3 linked regions of the Pelodiscus sinensis genome follow. The protein of the gene in region 1 interacts with the protein of each later gene in a pairwise test. Links are inferred from orthologs where the notes say so. Each region holds a gene or a part of one and is shown in the gene's direction. Other genes may lie near its edges.

Region 1 (7,158 bases):
CAATTTATAGCAAAGCGAGACTTGGTTGTTCTAATACTATTTACAAATTGATTAAGTATTGTGTAAGATACGTAAAATGCCCAATGCCTCTATTTGGGGTACATCCTGCTACTCAGGATGTTGCTGCTATGTGCTTAGTTGACAGTTTTATGGCTGCATCTGTACTTTTTACTTTATCAGAAACAAGCAACAGTACAAGGCTGCTTGTCCTGTGTTCTTGACGTTGTCTTGCATACCATGCTTAATCTGCATTGTTATGCAAAACAATTCCTGACTCTCAGGCCCTGCCTGCGTGCTTTGGCGCACCAGAATGGAAACAGGCCAGAAATCCGCATTTTGGACAAAGTAGACATCACCATTTATTGCCAAGGCAGGGTAGTCCAGGCTCCCCTACAGTTTTCCATAGGCTCTTTCTCAGGAAAGTCCTAAATTGTTTTGGCTGAAACTTTCCAGAATAATACAGTTTGAGATACATACCTATCTTTAAAATGTTCAGCCCTAATAGTTAAAACTTGGCAGAGTTTTAAACAACTGAAAACAGGATAGGGGTTGGAATTAGGGGTGGTGCTGCACCCCTGGTTTGAAGCCATTTCCATCAGATTGGTTAAATGGTCTTCAGTATCCCACCTATATAAATTGTTCCAGCTCCATTGGAAAACAGGGTCTTATAACAGGAATTTTCAGGCAGCTTTAATAATACAGCAAACTTCTGATAATCCAGAACCTTTGGGACCGAGGTGGTGCCAGATTATCAGATATGCCAGACTATCAGGGGGTACTATAAGCTTGTTTTTTATATATATACAGGCAGTCCCCGGGTTACGTACAAGATAGGGACTGTAGGTTTCTTCTTAAGTTGAATCTGTATGTAAGTCGGAACTGGCGTCCAGATTCAGCCGCTGCTGAAACTGATCAGTTTCAACAGTGGCTGAATCTGGATGCCAGTTCTGACTTACATACAGATTCAATTTAAGAACCCCAGGCATCCCCAAGTCAGCTGCTGCTGAAACTGATCAGCGGCTGATTCCAGGAAGCCCGGGGCAGGGGCTTCCCGTAGTCAGCCGCTGGTCAGTTTCAGCAGCGGCTGACTTGGGGACGCCTGGGGCAGAGCAGCTGGGGAACTGCTGGGTTGGTCCAGTAGCACCGCCGTTCCTCGGCGCTACTGGACCAACCCAGCAGCACCCAAGCTGCTCTGCCCCAGGCGTCCTGATTCAGCCGCTGCTGAAACTGACCAGCAGTGGCTGAATCAGGACGCCTGGGGCAGAGCAGCTGGGGTGCTGCCGGGTTGGTCCAGTAGCGCCCAGAGCGGCGCTACGGGACCAACTGCCAGCGCCCCAGCTGCTGTACCACAGGCGTTCGGAGCAAAGCCATGGAGCACGGGGGCAGCGGGACAGCCCAGACGCGCCGTGGCTGTCCTGCTGCCCTCGGGCTCCTTGGCTTTGCTCTGCTTTGCTCCCCGTCTCCCTGGTCTGCAGACCAGGGGGATGGGGAGCAAAGCGGCGGAACACGCGGGCAGCAGACAGCCCAGATGCGTCTGGGCTGTCCGCTGCCCGTGTGCTCCGCGGCTTTGCTCTGCTTTGCTCCCCTTCTCCCTGGCCTGCAGTCTCGCTGCCTGGGCGGCTTTACTCCCGGGCAAATGAGCAAAGCCAGGCGGCGGCTTTGCTCGGGTGTCCCTGGTCTGCTGGGGGGGTCCAGCGGCTTTGCTGGACCCCCCCAGAAGACCACGGAGACCGGGAGAAGCCCCGTTCATAAGTGCGGGGCGAGAAAAGCCCTGTTCGTAAGTGCGGATCCGACATAAGTCGGATCCGCGTAAGTCGGAGACTGCCTGTGTGTGTGTGTGTGTGTGTGTGTGTGTATATATATATATATATATATATATACAGGGCTCGACAAATTATGGAAAACCCTACTCGCCAGACAAAAAAGGGACTCGCCACCCTCCCCCCCGCCCAAAAAAAAGTGTTTTTTTTATGGCATAAATTCCTAATAAGAATAAGAACAGTAATTACTAATACGTTCTTAATAAATATCACCCAAGTTATTAATAAATATCTTATAAACGTCTACCTTTTCCCTCTGCTGCCATGTCTCCTCCCCTTGCTCCATCAGCTCCCCTGATGCCTCCTGCCCCCCAACCCCTTACCCTCCTCTGCTGTCCTGACTCCTGTCCTTCTCACTGCCCTCAGCCCTCCTGAGACCTGCCCCCCTCCCCCAGCCCTTCTCTCCCCCCTGTGACCACTCCTCCAGTAGCCCCACTCATCAAGTGAGCTACCCCTCCTCATCCCCTCTCCTAACATGTGTCATATACTGTATATAAAGTGTTTTTAACTCTTTTTATTGTAGCACAAGCACTGTCCAGCGTCACACAATGCCAGTGGCAGACTGACTCAGTCGCATCCAGTTTCGCTCAGTTTAGCTGCTGCCGCTGCTGCCTTGTAACTCTGTTTTTGCTGAAGCTCACTCATTAGGCTCTTGCCATTTTGATGCCGGACTATCGGGAGTGCCGTACAATTGGATGCCGGACTATTGGAGTTTTACTGTATATGGTGTACCATCTCTGCCTACAGTAATCACAAGAATCTTGTATTAGAGATAGAGAAAATTGATGGTAATACAGTCAAAACTGCACTAAGAACCGCCTCCAATAGTCAACCTCATGTGTTCAGTGACCACCAAAGAGGTGTTTCCAGAATAATTTTATCTGACTTTGTATTAAAGACCATCTTCTACTAGCACACTGATTTTTGCAAAACCCTTGAGTCAGGTTAAGACAGGGTTAAGAATTTCATAATAAATACGTAACATAACTGTTTGTGCTACTATCACACCTTTTGTTAAAGGATCTCTAGATATTGGTCTATCAAAAGTGGAACTAAGGTCCCTATACCCTAATCATTACTCATACAGGAGTAATCATGGGGAGTGAAGATGACACATGGTAGTAATGGTTTGGGGGATCAGGCAGACCCTAATATTGTACCACACATCAACTTTATTAGGGAGAGCACTCTGCCTCTGTATTCTGTATCCCCAGATTCTTTAGATAATGAAATTAAGAGGATGCAATGCTATAATTTAAATAAGTGGAGGGAGAGAGAAAGTGAGGGCAGAGATGTTTTCAGATGAGATTGGAAGGCAGGAGCTGTGGTGAGAAACTGTTCTCAATGGCAGAGGCTGCAGAGAAGGTTCTTGTGCCAACAGTGGGGAAGATCTGTAAGGGAAAAGGTGCAAGATGAAGGCAGGGAATGGAAATTTGGGGCTGGAGCTTGAGTGCACTGTGACTGTGCTGTCCTGGAGCTGCGAGTACTGATTTGGGCCCATCAGGGCAGGGGCCCTCTCTCCCCATCCCCAGCTGTTTGGTGTTGCGAACAAGGGTGGAGAGGATGTGTGGAAGTGGTTTGGACTCTGGCTCTCTGGCTATGAGGGATGAAGGTCAGAATGGGAGAAGTGGGCCAACCATGCCCAGTACCAGAATCTTACCCATGCAGAGTAGCTGGCAACATCCAGAGCCCTATCCCCAGCTGGCCACTCTCTTATGTACTGGCTTACTTTCACCTCTGCATATACCTAAGATTGATAACCTTGCATGTCTCCTCACTCTTGCATGACTCAAACCCTCTCCCACATGGGCCTTACACTTGCAGTGTTGGTGGGCACACAGCTGCTGTATTACCAACAATTTTGATCTGTTGCCGCTTGTTAAATTGCAGAAGTGAGAACACAGTAGCATCTTTCGCTGGCCCCAGAAACTATTAATCTAAGAGATCCCATGTAGTGCAAAAAATGCGACTCTTTAGCCCCCATGTAAAAAACCCCAAACCCTGCCGCTTAAATTAGTGGGGGGGGGGGGAGGGTGTTTGTTTTTTGGCAACTGCCAAATGCAAATCCTTAAAACATTACCCCCAAAACAGCCAGTGGAGCCAGATACCTGCCAGGTGGTGGTAACCCTCCTCTTCTGTGGTCCCACTGCCCTGCGGAGGGACAGGGGCTTGGCCCGGGACAGGGCAGAGCAGAAGGAGCTGCCAGTTCCCCGAGAGCTGCGCACAGAGCCTCCAGCCTAGCGCGCGCCTGGGCCAGGCCCTCACCTGATCCCGCCCCCACCTCCAGGGACCTGCGCGGCCCTTCCCGCCGCTAGGTGTCGCCGCCGCCAACGGGACCCAGCGTCCGCCCTCGGCCGCCGGCGGACAGGAGGCTGCGAGCGCCATCTTCTCGCGGGCTTCCTCCGGCGCGCGGGGCCCACGGCGCGGAGCCAGGGCGGTGAGTGACAACGCGGGCGCGGGCCGCTGCCGCTCGCTCGCCCTGAGGGCAGGGGACGAGGCTGCCTGGCCGGCCGGCTGCAGCGGGGGGGGTCTCTGGGCTCCCCTCTCGGGCATTAGCAGGGGCGGGCGGGACCGTCCTTCTCCTGGGCGGCGGAGAGGCGGGGGCGTTACTCTCCCCCCCCCCCCATCGCCGAGCTCCCCAGCCCCTCCTCAGCAGCGCCCGCCCGGGGGAGGGACACGGACTCTGATCCCCTCCCCTCGGTCAGAGGGGCTCCCCCCTGCAGGCGGCAGCGATTCTCATTTCACCTGCTGCCAGCGCAGCTTTCATTGCTTAGATCCCCCTTTGGGGGGGTTACCTCCAAGATCCACCCGCATCCTGTAATGTGTCGTAATAAGGAAACACGCGTGTTCACTGAAAGGGCCCCCAGATCTCAGCGCTTGACCTGATTCATGGGCAGCCCCTCACACTCTGCGTGTGGCCCTCCGGGCGTCCTGTTACCTTGAGAAAGTGGACCCATCCTAGCTAAGGCTTAGTCGCTTTTACTTCCCCCATTTCCGACTGTGGCGTGTGTCTCACCTACGGCTTTGCTGCATTAACTGGTATATAATGTAATGAATGGCATTTGTCCACACGTATGGAGTACAACGGATATAGATCTTTGCAATTTGCAAAATGTGCCTCAAACTTTAATTCAAACAGTTCTTAAGTTCTTTGCATTTAAACCCACTTTATTCCACTAGAACCTGTCCCCGGGCCCTAGGTTCCTCACCCCTGCTTTAAGACAGTGTCTGAACGAACTCCTCTGCTGTGGTTGGCCAAGGTCCACCACTACATAAGCACAGAAGAAAAACAGTCCTATCCAGTATGTGTCTGTCTTCTGCCCATTTTACTTTTTAGTCTGCCAAGAAACAGAAATTGAAAGCCCACAACTTTCAAGAAGCCAGAATGAGTAGTTAAGCTGGACGGACTAGAGCCATTAATTCAATTTTCTGAGACTGTAAGTGCATGTTTAGCATGTTTTGTCATGAGATTTAATTGTAACTTGTTTTTAAAAGAGAGAGTCAGTATTTTATTGGTTTAAAAATAGAAGATGTGATTTAAATCAAATCCAGTTTAAATTTAAAACTTTTTTTTTATTTAATAAATTATTGATTTTTATCCACCCTGGGAATAACCTTTAAAACATTTTCAATATATTTGTTCCTCTCCATTCATCTAACAAACTTGTTGCACTATAGCATTTGAAGTACATATATCTTTATGCTGACTCCTTCAAGAAGCCATTTATAGAACCAAGTACAGTAAAATGTTTTAAGAAAGTTATTTTATATCTGGATTTGATTTTGTCAGTGAAGCTAATGTGGCCACTGAGGAGAGATTGAAATGCCACCTAGCTGATTAGCTGAATGCCCACAGCTAGGCTTTTTTTCCTGTTCATTTACTGGTGATGCATGTTCACATGTGCCTTGATGCAATTTTTTTTTTCTATACAGTATAAGGCTGGAAAAAATCCTCACATAGATGAAAAAGATGAGGGAACATTGGATGGGAGGCAAAAACATGGGGATGGAAAATATTACTCATTTTCAAAAGTGAAGGGAAATTCCAGGATCTGTTAGTGACCTTTCCTGTTGCATTCATCAACAAAATACATTTAGCCTAAGGGGTGATTTGTGGATAGAGTTTGTGACTTCTTGAAGGTTAACAGAACTGGGAATAGATTGTGTTGGCTGAGGTTACAGACTGTTATGGTGTCTATAAGACCAGAGTTTCTCAATATGTGGCTTGCAACTCAAAGGTATATCACCATCCAAGCAAGACCAGGGCTGGCTAGACGTGGCTTCCCGTTTCAGGCTTTGTAACCCGGCTCATAGGCTAGCAGTGTCACTGTGGTTTGGCTCAGTTACCCCTCTGTCATGTACTCTTCTCCCACAACTATGAGATTCTCCTACTGTCTTACCTCCTGTCATGGACCCCGACTCCTGAACTTCCCTCTTCACCCCACTTAGCCTCTGTGTGTAGAGGCTGTGTGGTTTTTTTGGGAGCTGTCAGCTTGCCGTCTCTCCCCTAAACTTCTATGTTCCATATCCTTCCCACTGAAACCTCAAACTCCTTTGCCCTTGGGATGTAAGTACCGATCAAAATAGTTAACCAGTTAAGCAATTAAAATTACATTCTTTAGCTGGTTAACCATTGTTGAGCGCAAAGCAACTATGGTGGGAGGGTCTTACCGGGCATAGTGGGGCCACATCCAGGGCTATGCAGAGAAGCTCCGGGCCATGGCTGCCATGGCATGGGTGCGTTCCTCCAGCGCTACTGTGACGTGGGCAAAGTTTCCTCCTGCCCCCACAAGGTGCGGATGGGGCGCTGCAGCGTAACCAGTGCTTGTGTCCCCTTAACTTGGCCTGTTCCAACGGCCAGCCAACAGGGCTGGTAGTCCAGTTAATCGGTACCCAGTATGCATTCCAGTAAGCCAACTGCTTACCGGGTGACCGGTTAACATTTTACATCACTACTTTGCCCCCAGTTCCTTCTCCAGCCACCTACAAATTCTCCCTATCCTTAGCCTCTCCATTGGTTGAGTTGGGGGCAGTGTTCTCTCTAAGCTGCGTTGCAGCACAGCTTCACATCCCCGCCCAGTCAGCTCTATGCAGGCAGCCCTGAGCCTCTGACTGGGTGGGGCTGATTAATCAACTGTGAAGCTGAGGGAACCAGAAGGAACACTAGTTAGGGGCTATGATTTTTTTGGGGAGGTTCAGCTCATCATCCATCCTCTCCTCTCCTCCCAGTTGCTGGTTTGGAGTTTCCCTAACCATTCGAATCTAACTGGAGCATCTGGAGCAAATTGGTCCTGAGCCCAGAAAGGTTGAGAACTATTGTACTAGATACCATGATGCT
Region 2 (7,141 bases), on another chromosome or scaffold:
AGGCTCCATGCACTGCTCTGCCCCTGAGCACCGGCTCCATACTCCCACTGGCCAGGAACCAGCCACTGGGAGCTGGGGAGGACAGTGCCTATGAGTGAGAGCGGCACGCTGAGCCACTTGCGCACCTCAGCTTAGGACTCAGATCTGCTAGTGGCTGCTACCGGGGCACAGGATGGTCTAAGGCACCAGGGAAGGCGGGAAGCCTGGCTTAGACTCCCCGCTGCTCTGCTGACTGACAGTTGCTGGGGGTGAGTCCATGCCCAACCTGGCACCCCAATCCCTTGCCCCAGCCCTAACCCCCCCCCCCCACACACACACTCCAGAGCCCACACACTAGTCAAAAGATAGAATTATGTCAGGCCATGCAAATCCACATGCAGGGTACCACCACCTTAGGATGAGAAATCCCTCTTTTAGGAGCCATTAGGGAGTGGAAGTCAAAGATGAGAACTCAAGAACTTTAAAACTACCCCTTAGAGCTGGATAGTTACAGCCAAGCCTCAAACAATGCTCTTCAGAATCAAAGGATTGCTTCAAAGTTACCCCGAGCCTGAATTTCACCATTAGAGATACACTGGAGGAAGATGTGTTGAAATCAAACAGGTGTGGGTATTGTGGGGAAGCTGAAAAATCCTAGCTGAGAGAGACACGTATAGAAAGCATAATGCCATCTGTGACGTCTCTTGGCGTAACCTGTTCAGTAAGTCATTCTCTTATGCCCTGCCTCAGGTGTGAGTGTCTTGCTTTGTTGCAACTTGGTGTTAGCTCCCTGACACTGCCAACTTGTTTGTCACGTAAGCATTTGCCTGTGGGCTACACCAGTCTTGTCTTTGAACTGGTGAACCTCAGTTTCTGTCTCTTTCAATCATTCCTCTGTGATATCCAGCCCCTGCCACTGGTTACTCACAGAAATACCCAAACTTTTGCCCCCTCCTCCAAGAAACAGTGTGACCCAGTTTAGTAGTTTTGTGTTAAATCACTGCTCGTGTTAACTGTGAGTGCTTATACATCAACTTACCTTTTTTTAGTGAAAAAAAATGGAGAATTAACTAGAAGCGGGGAGAGGGGTGTAGAAAAGCATTTATAGCACGGATCATAAAACACAAACCTGGGTCTATCCTTATGAAGTTACCTTCTTACCTCATGAAGTAGGCTTCCCCCAAAGTTCAGCCTGTTGCAGACCTGGCTGGCTGGAAGCAGGATCCAATTTTTCAGGAGAACCAGGATGCATCCTCAGTGAAAGGTTGCATATGTTCCCCCCCTCCTCTGTTATAAGGAAAGTCTTTTATCTTTATTTATAGACAGGACAAACTGGTCTGCTGTAATGTTCCTTTTTTACCTCCAAGTGGTTTGGATTGTTTGCAGTCACTGATGATATTCCATTGATAGTCTTGGGAAGAAATAAGGCCAGACAACTGAGCCTTGCATTACCTCACTGGCTAAACGTGGCAGGATGATAGCTTCCCTCCTTGTGGAATCAGCCAGCACCAAGACTTATCTTCTGGTCACAGACTTCTACTCCAAGTCCATAAAGCATACTTCCCATCTAGTTACACTGTTTCTAGGCATTATTCCTGGTACATACATCTCACGATGATTGTATCTTGATAGTCATACGCTTTATGCAGATGCCTTACACATATTACTTTTTATGGATAGATATACTGCAAGACATGTTTGGAGTAACAAATCTATTAGGTCTGAGATTTATTTGCAAAGAATAATGGACCATCTAACATCTCAGGCCAAGTTTACAACTAGAAACTTTTGGTGGTATTGCAATTTGGTTTAGGGGTAGGATTGCACTGCATCATTTCTACACCTGCAAAAGCCCTAGCATAGATGTAGCTTTACTGGACTAAAAGTGCTTTTGCTAGTATAGCTTACTTTGCATATCAAACTTGCATAATCTATACTAACAAAAGGACTTTGTTTTGCCTGCGTAAGCTGAATGCGTGTAACCTAGGAAGGTTCTCATATGAATATACAGGTCGGACCTCCCTTGTCCAGCACCCTCTGGACCTGAGGGGTCCTGAACAATGGAGTTTGCCGGACAATGGGAGGTCAAGGCTCTGTTCCCAGTTGGGGCTGCGCTCCCTGTCACTGCCTCCAGCTCCACTCTGTGCCAGTCCTGCCCGAGGCTGCGTCCCCAGGACAGGGGCTAGCCCCATTACCCCCAACCCCAGCAAGTGCTGTTCACCCTGTTCTCCCAGTGCCAGCCTGGGCTGCACTCCTAGTGGACTCCAGCCCCGGCCGGGACTGTGATCCTGCATTGGACCAGTCCTGGCAAAGGCTGTGGTCCTGACCCCCGGCCCTACTACCTCCAGTCCTGACTGGGGCTGCAGTCCTTGCTGCCAGCCCTGGCCAGGGTTGTGCTCTTCACCGCGCTGTACCCGCTGGGGCTGAGCTCCCCATCGCCAGCCCTGCCCTGGCTGTGCTTTAACCTGGACAGCTAGGGCTCTCTGGTCCAACAACATTCGTCGTCCTGCTGGACCAGAGAGTCCCGGATTTTAGAGGTCCAGACTGTACCCGTGTAGCTACCTGCAAACCTTTTTGAGTGTAGACTACACTTTAAATTACAAGAACGTAATTTTATAAACAAAATGTATTTTTCACCATATAAACTGTTTGTTCATGCTTCTCACCCAGCTTTGATAGAGAAATCAAAGTAGTTAATTTCCCTTCTATTTATAAGTTAATTTCACCTTTGGATTCTCTTTCACTAATAAAAAGAACCCTCTATCATATTTAGTTGTAAAATACAGCAGAGAAATATTTAAATCTACCCTTTACCACAAAATAGCATTTTATTTTAAAATTGAAAATTTTATGGAAATATTTCTATTCCTTTTGTGTTTTGAAAAGTCCTATTGAATTCTAGCAAAGCCTAAATTTTAGTCTTGCACTAAGAACCCAATCCTACTTATTCACTGGCTATCTACTCAGAGGGTAGCCCTGCTTATATGTAGCTTTAAAAGCAATGAGTAGTCTTGTGGTACCTTAGAATATGTGTATACTGCAGGGTTTTTCTGGGATATCAGAGGTATCCCGGAAAAACTCTGCTGTATCCAGGGAACATGTTTGCTCTCCCACTTTTTTTTCCGGAAGTGCAAATGCGCTCTTTTAGAAGCCCTGTCTTCATTTCATGAGGAAGAAAGGATCTTCTGAAAGAGGGGGATTTTCTGAAATTTGGCCCAGTGTAGATGAGCCAAATTTCAGAAAAGCCTCTTCCAAAAGAGCTTTTTTTTTTTTTTCTGAAAAAAAAGCTGTAGTGCAGAGCTAGCCTTACAGACTAACAAATATATATATATTGCACCATGAGCTTTTGTGGGCAAAACCCACTTCATCGGATGAGCTGGAGGAGGGAGAACAGAAACCCAGAATTTACGACAGAAAAACTAGGGTTGTAAAAGTAATTCAACTGATTTCAGTGGGCTTAGTTACCTTTTCCATACTATTCAGTGCAGGTGTGTGGAAGGAGCGGGCAGCTCATGTTCTCTTCTGTGAGCATGCTGTGCATGCACCACACCCCCCAACACTGCACGGGGCGAGGAAAGCAATTCTAAATATAGCCCTTTGCCCCGGTGACAACTCATCTCCGCCCGCTCGCTTCCTGCCCCCCACGCAGGTTGAGGGGGAGGGTAGCAAGGGGGGGGGCAGCCACGTGTGAGTGAACCCAGGGCGAGGGGCCCGCGTGCACCAGTGACTCCGGGGGAGGGGGGGGCATTGCCCCCCAGCCCGGGCCGGTGAGTTTCGGGGGCGAACCCCACGAGCTGCACCCCCCAGCCGGGGCCGGGCGGGTAAATGCCCCTCCCTGGGGCAGACCAGGGACCCGCTCGCGCCCACGGGGGGGGGCTCCACTGCCCCGGGGGTGCCCGGCGCTGCACAAACAGAGCAGCCCGGAGCTGCCCCCCCCATTGCACCCCCGCGCTCGGGCCCCGCCCCCCGCAAGCGCCCCTCCCGGAGCGCGCGGGCTGGGGGGTGGGGGGGGGAGCAGCGCGCGCGCCCCTCGGCCCCGCCCCGCCCCCTCGCCTGCGGGGCCCCGGCGGCGGCGCGCGCGCTCCCGGGCGGCAGGGCCTGCGTGGCAGCTGGGGCGGCGCGCGCCCGCGCGGCGGGGGAGCCGAGCAACAGGCGCGGGCCCGGGCGGGGGCGTCGGGAGCGCGCGGCGAAGTTGTGGCTGGGACTCGCCGCGGCGGAGCGTGGAGCGGGGGCCCCGGGACTCGCGCCCGGCGGCAGGTAAGAGCCCCCCCTCCCCCCGCGAGCAGCGCGGGAACGGGCCGGGCTACGGACACCGGGGGGGGCACGGACCTGCGGGGGCTGGGCAAGGCCTGTGGGACGGGGGGGCACAGGGGCTGGCTGGGGGGGCACAGGGGCAGGGCAAGGCCTGTGGTACGGGGGGGCACAGGAGCTGGCGGGGGGGGGCTGTGGGGCGGGGGGGCACAGGGGCTGGCGGGGGGGGCTGTGGGACGGGGGGGCACAGGAGCTGGCTGGGGGGGCACAGGGGCAGGGCAAGGCCTGTGGTATGGGGGGGCACGGGCTGGCGGGGGGGGGGGCTGTGGGACGGGGGGCACAGGGGCTGGCTGGGGGGGCACAGGGGCAGGGCAAGGCCTGTGGTATGGGGGGGCACGGGCTGGCGGGGGGGGGGGCTGTGGGACGGGGGGCACAGGGGCTGGCTGGGGGGGCACAGGGGCAGGGCAAGGCCTGTGGGACGGGGGGGCACAGGAGCTGGCTGGGGGGGCACAGGGGCTGGGCAAGGCCTGTGGTACGGGGGGGGGGTGGCCATTGACCTGCAGGGGCTGGGCAAGGCTTGTAGTGGGAGGGGGCCCGGGGTGGCCACTGATGTGCAGGGCTTTGAGGAAGATTCCTGTCTCAGTGGCTCTTGGGCTTGCTGCTGTTCAGCCGGGGCCAGGGGGAAGGTCCATCTCGCAGGCAGATGCGACTTGCTCTCTTCTCTTGGGACACCTGTCTTCGTTCTGTCACTTTTTGAATGTATGTAATGGCCAGGTTAGGGGCTGGCTCAGGAATGGTGTGCTGGAGCCTTTGCTGCTGCCTAAACTTGCTTGCCTAAGTTTCCTTTGGTGGCCACTTCGTGTGCTATCCGCACAGGGGTTTTGTGTGTCTTTAGGATAAAAGGACTTTCCATGTCACTTTTATACTCATAGAGTGAGACAGGGAAAAGTCCTATTAGGACATATTATTTCTTCCCACCCTCTCCAGAGCTAATGCAGGATTGTTTCCTAATGGACATTCTTGTCCTTTGTTCATTTTAAATGTTCCAGACAAATAGGGTGTCCATCACTTCCTCTGGGGGACTAGTCCAAACGGGTACGTCTACACTGCACGGCTATTTTGGGATACCAGAGGTATCCCGAAGTAGCAACCCCACATCAACACAAGCTGCCCATTATTTTGAAATATTTTTCAAAATAACAGGCATACTATTTTGTCATCCCGGTAAACCATGTTGCACAAGGGATAAGAGATGGCTTGAAATGGAATGTTATTTCGAAATTTGGTGCTGTGTAGACACACCAAATTTCAAAAGAAACTATTTCAAAAAAGATTTGAAATAAGATATGCAATTTGCGTGTCTTATTTTGAATTTAGGGTGCTGTGTAGACTAACCCTAACAGACTAGAACTCGCTGTCAGGAATAAGTGTCACAAAGTAATGTGCTAGTGCGGTGTTTCTCAATCAATGGCACGAGTACCCTTAGGGGTACTCAAGAGAAGTCGGGGAGGGGAGGAAGTACGTCAACACAACTGAAATTTGGAGAAAATGGAATTTTTGTTTTAAGTTTTACAGCGCTTTATTATTTTTATACTTTTTACACCCAAAAATTTAATTGCCCGCCCAGCTACTATTAAGATGTTTAAACGAATGTGTTGCAATGGTAGAAAATTTTTGTGTGTGTCTGAAAACTGTAGGTACTGGGGGTACTTATAATTTTTTTTAAAAGGGGGTACTTTTTTTGGAAAAGAGGTACTTCACAAAAAAAAAGTTGAAAAACGCTTTGCTAGTGTACTGGGATCACATGGACATCAGTCTTAATGGAGGGGAAAGAAACAATGTAAATAGGAAGGCAGACAGGAGGAGATAAGTAATTAAAGGAGTTGGAGAAGTGTTGAGTGGTAGTGCCATGGCTTCCTTTGGTAATGTGACTTCCCAAATGTATTGCAACTCTTGAGTTTTGAGACTAACACTTATCTGGATGAATTTGAGGATAGATTGAAATAACACTAAAATGCAGTATGTTCTTCTTTAATGGAGGTTTGTTGATATATAAGTGCTGTTATGAAGGGTGTTAGCAGGCAACATTGTTTCAGGAGGTAAGCAAAGTTAAAATTTCTCTAAAAATAGGGCTATTTGTGTGGTTTTATGTGGGTTGGTGTCAGGTTGCTTTTTTAAAAAAACATTAGAGATGGTGGTGCTGTCTGACACACATACTTTAGCCAGCGGTTTCCGTATATTTCTGTTCTGTTCTGGAAGAGCCAAATCACCTCATGGAATATGTTCTCAACCATCTTCTAAAACATTGATTTAAAGGGAGTACTCTGGGGTTTTCTGGGGGAACATCAACTCATCTAGATATTTGAATAGTTTAGTGGGCTACATAAAAAGCAGTAGTGAAGTCTGTACAAACTAAAATTTCATAGACAATGATTTGTTTATACTGCTCTGTATACTATACACTGAAATGTAAGTACAATATTTATATTTCAGTTGATTTATTTTATAACAGTATAGTGGTAATGAGAAAGTAAGCCATTTTTCAGTAATAGTGTTCTGTGTCACTTATCAGTTATATTTGATTTTGTAAGTTTTAAAGTAAGGTGCAATGGGATACACAAGACATATCAGACTTTAGAAAGAAGTACAGTAATCTGGAAATATTGAAAGCCACTGCTCTAAAATCTCTTACCTTCTCTACTTTATTCTCTTCTGTGGTTTCATGGGCCATGCACGGAGCTCTGCAATTACTAGTTAGTGTATGGACTCTACTCTGAGAACCTCTCTACCATCAGACATTTTCCATTTGGGGACTCTTCTGTTATTGGGTTTTAACATTCTGCTGAACATTTTAAGGGAGAGGTGCCTAGCTAGTCTTAGAGTGCTTTTTTTTCTGTTATTCTTAAATGGT
Region 3 (7,457 bases), on another chromosome or scaffold:
TTTCAAAATAGCTCCTCCCCAGGGCCATTCAGAGTAATTACTCTCTAGTGGTTCATGGGGCTCTAAATAGAGATAGTACATCAACATGAGGGGAGCCTGCCTTGGACTAATTTCAAGGCTTCCCTATAGTATAGATGCACTGTTTTGAAATAAACTATTTTGGAATGTTTCTTCCAGAATAGCTTATCTTGAAATAAGCATGCAGTGTAGACTAGGGACGTAATAAGTAGTCGATTAACCAAAAAGCAAAAGCTTATAGGTTAATGCTATAGACTACACACATTTCTCCACCCCCGACCTTGCCAGTAAATTTTTTAGCTCTGCATTTAAAGTGTATTAGAAGCTGGGTGGGAAGGCAGCCTGGCTTAGTCCTGTTTCACACTGGGTCTGGGACCTACCCCCACTGTGTTTCTGCATTTGAAGTGTCTTAGGAGCCAGGAAGGCAGGAAACTCAGCCCAGTTCCAGATTGCACCAGGTACAGGAGCTCAGACACACACACCCCAGATGGGGTGCTGCCACCCCACTAAGCTGCCTCTGATAAAGAGGCAGCAGGAGAGGGAGACAGGCAGCTGGTCCACAAGGGGAGCTGATTTTTAAACTAGCTCCCATCATGGAGCAGCCCCCACCTGGCACCCCGCACTGCGGCCTCTGATACAGAGGCAGCAGCACAGAGTGGCAGGGGTTTCTCAGGAGTGAAGCCAGAGCACACTGGCTGCTGGCCCCACCCCTTCGGGACTATAGACTAGTTGACTAACCTATAAGAATTCATGAAGTTACTCGACTATCCAGGTAACTAATACTTAAGGGTATGTCTACACTACCCTCCTAATTCGAACTAGCGGGGTAATGTAGGCATACCGCACTTGCAAATGAAGCCCGGGATTTGAATTTCCCAGGCTTCATTTGCATAAGCCGGGCGCCGCCATTTTTAAATCCTGGCTGGTTGGAACCCCGTGCCGCGCAGCTACACACGGCACGAACTAGGTAGTTCGGACTAGGCTTCCTAGTTCGAACTACCGTTACTCCTCGTGGAGTACCAAATATTTAAGTCTTTAAAGTTCTTTAAAATGAAAACAAAACAGCCTGAATTAAAAAAAATAAAATGTTGAAAAGAACAAGCAATAGAGATAAAAAGAGAATGCAGGAAGAAGACCATCACCAAGAATGGAGGCTATCCTATTCATTGCACCCAATATAGCATGTATGGTTATCTTCCCTATATGCAAAAGCGACAAGGAGTCCTGTGGCACCTTATAGACTAACAGATGTATTGGAGCATAAGCTTTCGTGGGCAAAGACCCACTTCATCAGATGCAGGCCCGAATAAGACTAGAGATAACGAGGTAAATTCAGTCAGGGAGGGTAAGGCCCACTTCTAGCAGTTGATGTGGAGGTGTGAACACCAAGAGAGGAGAAACTGCTTTTGTACTTTCAAAGCCATCGTTTAATCCTAAACTGATGGTGTCAAATTTGCAGATGAATTGTAGCTCAGCAGTTTCTCTTTGAAGTCTGGTCTTGAAGTTTTTTTGCTGCAGGATGGCTACCTTTAAATCTGCTACTGTGTGTCCAGGGAGATTGAAGTGTTCTCCTACAGGTTTTTGTATATTGCCATTCCTAATACCTGATTTGTGTCCATTTATTCTTTTACGTAGGGACTGTCCAGTTTGGCCGATGTATATAGCAGAGGGGCATTGCTGGCATACAATGGCGTATATTATATTGGTAGATGTGCAGGTGAATGAACCAGTGATGGCGTGGTTAGATCCTGTGATGGTGGTGTTGGTGTAGATAGGTGGGAAGAGTTGGCACCAAGATTTGTTGCATGGATTTGTTCCTGAGTTAGAGTTACTGTGGTGCAGTGTATAGTTGCTGGTGAGAATTTGCTTTAGGTTGGTGGGTTGTCTGTGGGCAAGGACTGGCCTGCCTCCCAAGGCCTGTGAAAGTGAGGGATCATTGTCCAGGATGGGTTGGAGAGGTTTTAGCTGAAGACTGTAGGTGATGGCCAGTGGTGTTCTGTTGGTTTCTTTCTTGGGCTTGTCTTGTAGTAGGAGGCTTCTGGGTACATGTCTGGTTCTGTTAATCTGTTTCTTCCCTTCCTCGTGCAGGTATTGTAGTTTCAAGAATGCTTGGTGAAGATCTTGTAGGTGTTGGTCTCTGTCTGAGGGGTTGGAGAAGATGCGGTTGTACCTTAGTGCTTGGCTGTAGACAATGGATTGTGTGGTGAGCCAGGATGGAAGCTGGAGGCATGAAGGTAGGCACAGCCAGGTCGGTAGGTTTCCGGTATAGAGTGGTGTTTATGTGACCATCACTTATTTGCACCGTGGTGTCCAGGAAGTGGATCGCTTGTGTAAATTAATGGAGATTGCCTATCTTCTAGAACTGGAAGGTATCTTGAAAGGCCATTGAGGCCAGTCCCCTGCCTTCACAGCAGGACCAAGTACCATCCCTGACAAATTTTTGCCCCAAATGGCCTCATAGAGCTGGAAGAGACCTCAGAATGTCATCAAATCCAGCCTCCTGCTCTAGGCAGGACCAATCCCTTGAACCTCCTGAAGGATTGAGCTCACAACCCTGGGTTTAACAGGCCAATACTCAAACCACTCAGCTATCCCTCCCACCAGTGTAGACTGGTCCAGGCTAAGGTTGATGGTGAGGTGGAAGCTGTTGATGGTGATGTGGAATTCTTCGAGCCTCCTTCCCATGGGTCCAGATGATGAAGATGTCATCAATGTAGTGTAGGTAGAGAAGGAGTGTTAGTGGATGAGAGCTAAGGAAGTGTTGTTCCAGGTCAGCCATAAAAATGTTGGCATATTGTGGGGCCATACGGGTGCCCATAGCAGTGCCACTGGTACGGAGGTATATAATGTCACTGAATCTGAAATAGTTGTGTGTGAGGATAAAGTCACAGAGCTCAGCCACCAGTTGTGCTGTGGCATCATCAGGGATACTGTTCCTGACAGCTTGTATTCCATCTATGTGTGGGATATTTGTGTAGAGAGAGCCTCTACATCCATGGTGGCTAGGATGGTGTTTTCTGAAAGATCACCAATGCATTGTAGTTTTCTCAGGAAATCAGTGATAGCTGGGAGTACTGGTGGTATAGGATCTGAGTAGAGAGTCCACATATCCAGACAGTCCTTCAGTGAGAGTGCCAATGCCCGAGATGATGGGGCATCCAGGATTTCCAGGTTTGTGGATCTTTGGTAGTAGATAGAACAACCCTGGTCTGGGTTCTAAGAGTGTGTTGATTTGTTCCTGTGCTTGTGTAGGGAGTGTCCTGAGCAGATGGTATAGTTTCTTAGTGCATTCCTTAGTAGGCTTTGAGGAAAGTGGCCTATAGAATTTGGTATTGGAGAGTTGTCTGGCAGCCTCTTTTTGGAAGTCAGACCTGTTCATGATGACAACAGCACTCTTTGATTATAATGTCAGAGTTGTTTCTGAGGCTGTGGATGGCATTGCGTTCTTCACGCAGGGCTGGACAGAGGCATGGGCAAGCCAGGCAGCTGCCCAGGGCGCCAACCCACGGGGGGGTGCCTGATGGCAGCTGTAAGGGGTGCGTGGCTTCTCTTACAGCTGCCATCAGGAGCTGCGCACCTGGCTCCCACGGTGCCAGCCCCACAGCATCGGACAACAGCACCCTTGCCCCTATGGCTGCGGGGCCATACATGGCCCAGCGTGTGCGCTAGCAGCGCTGGCCGGGCTGGGCTGGGCAGCGCATGCGCCATGCGCCCCATGGGTGAGCCCCGGGCTGTGCGCCAGGGGCCATGGCTGGTGCACGCATGCGCCATGTGCCCCAAGGGCAGGTTCCGGACTGTGCGCCAGCGGCTGTGGCCGGCGCCCCAGGGGCAGCGCCACACACCTGGGCCCAGGGTGCCAAAGGGGCTCGGGCCGGCCGTGTCTGCACAACTGAGATTATGAGGCAAGCGATGCTGTTTTTCCACAATTTCTGCCTGTGCACGTCAGCAGAAGTGCAAGTGCAGGTGCAAGAAGCTCCTGGCCCTCAGGGACCTTCTATGGGCTTTGAAGACCATGGTGGCTGAATTGGAGGAGCTAATGAAGGCAGAGAGGTACATTGATGAGACTTTCCAGGACACACTAGAAGAGTCCCATCCCTGGTCACACAGCCTTTGTGCTCTTGAGGACGTTTCAGAGGAGAAATGTTAACACTCAAGAAAGAGCTCTTGGAGTATTGGGGATAGCTCTTCGAAAACACCCACTCCATAGGTGCTGCTAAGGAAACTCTCAGACAATCTGTGCACTTTCGGTGCGCACCTAAGTGGAAGGGATGTGAGCAAGCACTGGAAGAAGAACTGGTGTAACTCCGCCCTGTAGGATTGTGCTACTGCTGGCAGCAATATCTTACAGGAGCCCTCCCTGCTAGCCTACCAATCGGAAAGCGCTCCGGGAAGCCAGTTCCTAGAAGGGAGCAGCCTTCTCCAGGCCAGAGCCGGGACAGTCACCGTGACGAGGCATTTCACGGCCGCGGTGCCTGCAGGCGGGACCCTGGTCTGAGAGTCGGGGGCTTGGGAACGCGGCCGGTGTAAAGTCAAAAAGTGAGCGAGTCCCCAGGGGAGAGCGCGGGGCCATCCCGGGGGCTGGACCTGCCCCGGCGCCGCCCCCCGCAGACCCCAGGCAGACCCCCACCCTGCTGCGGGAGGAGACGCGCCCCGTGCGGCTGCGATCACCAGCCCCGCCCGCGGCCCGGTGCGCCCTTCAGACGCGGGGCGGCGCTGCGAGAGGCCGGCAGCGGAACCGGAGTGAGACCCCCGCGCCTGCCGCACAGCGCGCCGCGGCCTGCTGCCGGGTGAGGCGCTTCCCGTCCAGCCCCCCCCAGCACCCCGCCCCCACTGCCGGCAGCCCCCCCCCGGTATTAGCCCCTCCGCCCCCACTGCCGGCAGCCCCCCCCCCGCATTAGCCCCCCCTCCGCCCCCACTGCCGGCAGCCCCCCCCCCCCCGGTATTAGCCCCTCCGCCCCCACTGCCGGCAGCCCCCCCCCGGTATTAGCCCCCCCACCACCTCCACTGCCGGCAGCCCCCCCCCGGTATTAGCCCCCCCTCCACCCTCACTGCCGGCAGCCCCCCCCTCGGTATTAGCCCCTCCACCCTCACTGCCGGCAGCCCCCCCCCCGGTATTAGCCCCTCCGTCCCCACTACCGGCAGCCCCCCCCCGGTATTAGCCCCTCCGTCCCCACTGCCGGCAGCCCCCCCCGATATTAGCCCCCCCACCCCCACTGCCGGCAGCCCTCCCCCCGGTATTAGGCCCCCACCCCCACTACTGGCAGCCCCCCCGGTATTAGTTCCCTCGTCTCCACTGCCAGTCCTCCCCCCCCCGTATTAGCCCCTCCCACTGCTGGCAGCCCCCCCCCCCGGGTATTAGGCCCCGCCCCCTCTACCGGCAGCCCCCCTGGTATTAGTTCCCTCGCCTCCACTGCCAGCCCCCCCCCGTATTAGCTGCCCCCCGGTATTAGCCCCTCCGCACCCACTGCCGGCAGCCCCCCCTCGGTATTAGCCTCCCCCCGGCCCCTACTGCCGGCAGCCGCTCCCCCTGGTATTAGCCCCCTCGCGCCCACTGCCGGCAGCTTTCCCCCTCCGGTATCAGCTCCCCCCCCCTCCCGCCCCCAGTCCCTACTCCTGACAGTACCGCCCACCCGGCACCCGGCGCCCTCCGGCAGCCCCCCCCCTCCCAACCCGCCCTTCCGGCAGTCCCCTCCTCAGCCCCCACTCCTTGCAGACCTTCTCTGGCACCTGCCACCCAGACCCCCCCATTCCCTGCAGCCCCCCTCCCTCGGCACCCAGCCCTCCTCCCAGTGCACTGTCCCCAGCCCCCACTCTCTGCAGCCTGCCTCCCCCTGGCACCTAGCACCCACTCCATGCAGCTCCCCCACTTCTAGCACCCAGCCCCCCCAGTTTACTGCCACTCACGGCACCCAGCCCCCACTCCCTGCAGCCCCCTTCCACCCGCAGCCCCACTTCTGCACAACTTCTCACATCTTACACCCAGCCCTCCACACTCAGAGCTTGCACAAACACCCTTTCTCCCACTGCACCCAGCACCCACTGTCTATACAATCCGCTGGCATCGGAACAGGCACCCTGCCCTTAACATTCCCATGAGCACCCTTTCCTGGCTCCTTGGGATGTTATCTGACTGAAATATGAGTTCTCTGATTAAAATGTGGCACTTGGCCAGGAAGGGTGAACCAGCTCCTAACCGGAGACCCAGCATCCAACTTTAAAATCACGTATGGAGATGTTAGATACTAAGCAGGGTAAAAAAAACAACAAATGGTCTGGTAGCACTTTATAGACTAACAAAACAAAGTGCTACCAGACCATTTGTTGTTTTTTTTCGTGTAACAGACTAACTTGGCTACCCCCTGAAGCTACGTGGATTGTTAGACTAGAACTTGGAAATGCCAACTAGCATTTTGAGATCGGTGGAGTGGTAGGTGTGCTTAGGTCTGATGATGGGAACAAACAGCCCTTCTCTGCTACTTTGACTCAAGATCAGAAGGGAATATTAACATTTTTGATGAAACTTAATTGAAATAGTATTATTGGTTACATGTCTCTTTGAAGGTTGTGGGACACTGAATGTGAACAGATTAAATGGAAAAATTGCCTTGTTCTAGTGGCACAAGGACAGAAGATGCATCTGATGAAGTGGGTCTTTGCCCACGAAAGCTTATGCTCCAATAAATCTGTTAGTCTGTAAGGTGCCACAGGACTCCTTGTTGCTTATGAAATAAAAGTTTACCAACCTGAAGATCCTGCATGTTCAGACATTTTCCTTTCATCATCTTCAACACAGCTTCCTCCTGACAAGGAACTTCTCATGATGATGTTTTATTTGGGCCCCCAGGCTTTTCATTTCTTTGTTGCACTGTTTGCATTTAGCATGAACACCTACCTTCATTGAACTTTTTAAAATTTTCCACTTTTTGAGAGGGAGGTAAGGGACTGATTCTGTGTACTCATATTTGCAAAAGGACAATAGGATTCAGGTCTGTTGTTTCTCATCTCTATATATTACTCATTTTAAAACATTTTTGCTGTTAACAACCATGTTATCTCTGGAAGCACAAATCCACAGTGTAAGAACTAGGGATGTTAAAGATTAGTCGATGATCTGATAAGCAAATGCTTATCGGATAGTCTTTTGACTAAATTACTAGTTGATTTCCTCCTCCCCTCCCTCCTCTGCCTCTGAGATAGAGGCAGCAAAGGGAGGGGGAAGGGGTACTTCAAAGTACCCTAAGGTGGCGTTTCAAAGGAGCAGCCGCTGCACTGCTGATCCGCGCATCAGCTGTGCAGTGGCTGCCCCTTTAAAATGCCATCTCCGCACATTTCAAAGGGGCAGCAGTGGATCCTGGTGTCAGCTGGGGACTCCCCAGTTGATTCCGGGCTCTGCATGGCATTTCCCCAGAACCCGGGGTCAGCTGGGGAGTTCCACTGCC

What was found.
Region 2: the proteins of XIAP (region 1) and NEK6 interact in binary tests that used the Homo sapiens proteins (3 or more experiments, as listed by UniProt). The two-hybrid records come from large-scale screens. The link is inferred for Pelodiscus sinensis from reciprocal best matches to the Homo sapiens genes XIAP and NEK6.
Region 3: the proteins of XIAP (region 1) and CASP10 interact in binary tests that used the Homo sapiens proteins (3 or more experiments, as listed by UniProt). The two-hybrid records come from large-scale screens. The link is inferred for Pelodiscus sinensis from reciprocal best matches to the Homo sapiens genes XIAP and CASP10.

What each region holds. Positions count from the first base shown.
Region 1 is NC_134723.1:32,365,874-32,373,031, reverse strand, and holds the start of XIAP (E3 ubiquitin-protein ligase XIAP), read left to right. Parts: upstream 1-4,136; 5' UTR 4,137-4,257; intron 4,258-5,157; exon of another isoform or gene 5,158-5,257; intron 5,258-7,158.
Region 2 is NC_134732.1:24,211,832-24,218,972, forward strand, and holds the start of NEK6 (serine/threonine-protein kinase Nek6), read left to right. Parts: upstream 1-4,077; 5' UTR 4,078-4,236; intron 4,237-7,141. UniProt on the Homo sapiens protein: Protein kinase which plays an important role in mitotic cell cycle progression. Required for chromosome segregation at metaphase-anaphase transition, robust mitotic spindle formation and cytokinesis.
Region 3 is NC_134717.1:56,863,176-56,870,632, forward strand, and holds the start of CASP10 (caspase-10), read left to right. Parts: upstream 1-4,393; 5' UTR 4,394-4,805; intron 4,806-7,457. UniProt on the Homo sapiens protein: Involved in the activation cascade of caspases responsible for apoptosis execution. Recruited to both Fas- and TNFR-1 receptors in a FADD dependent manner. May participate in the granzyme B apoptotic pathways.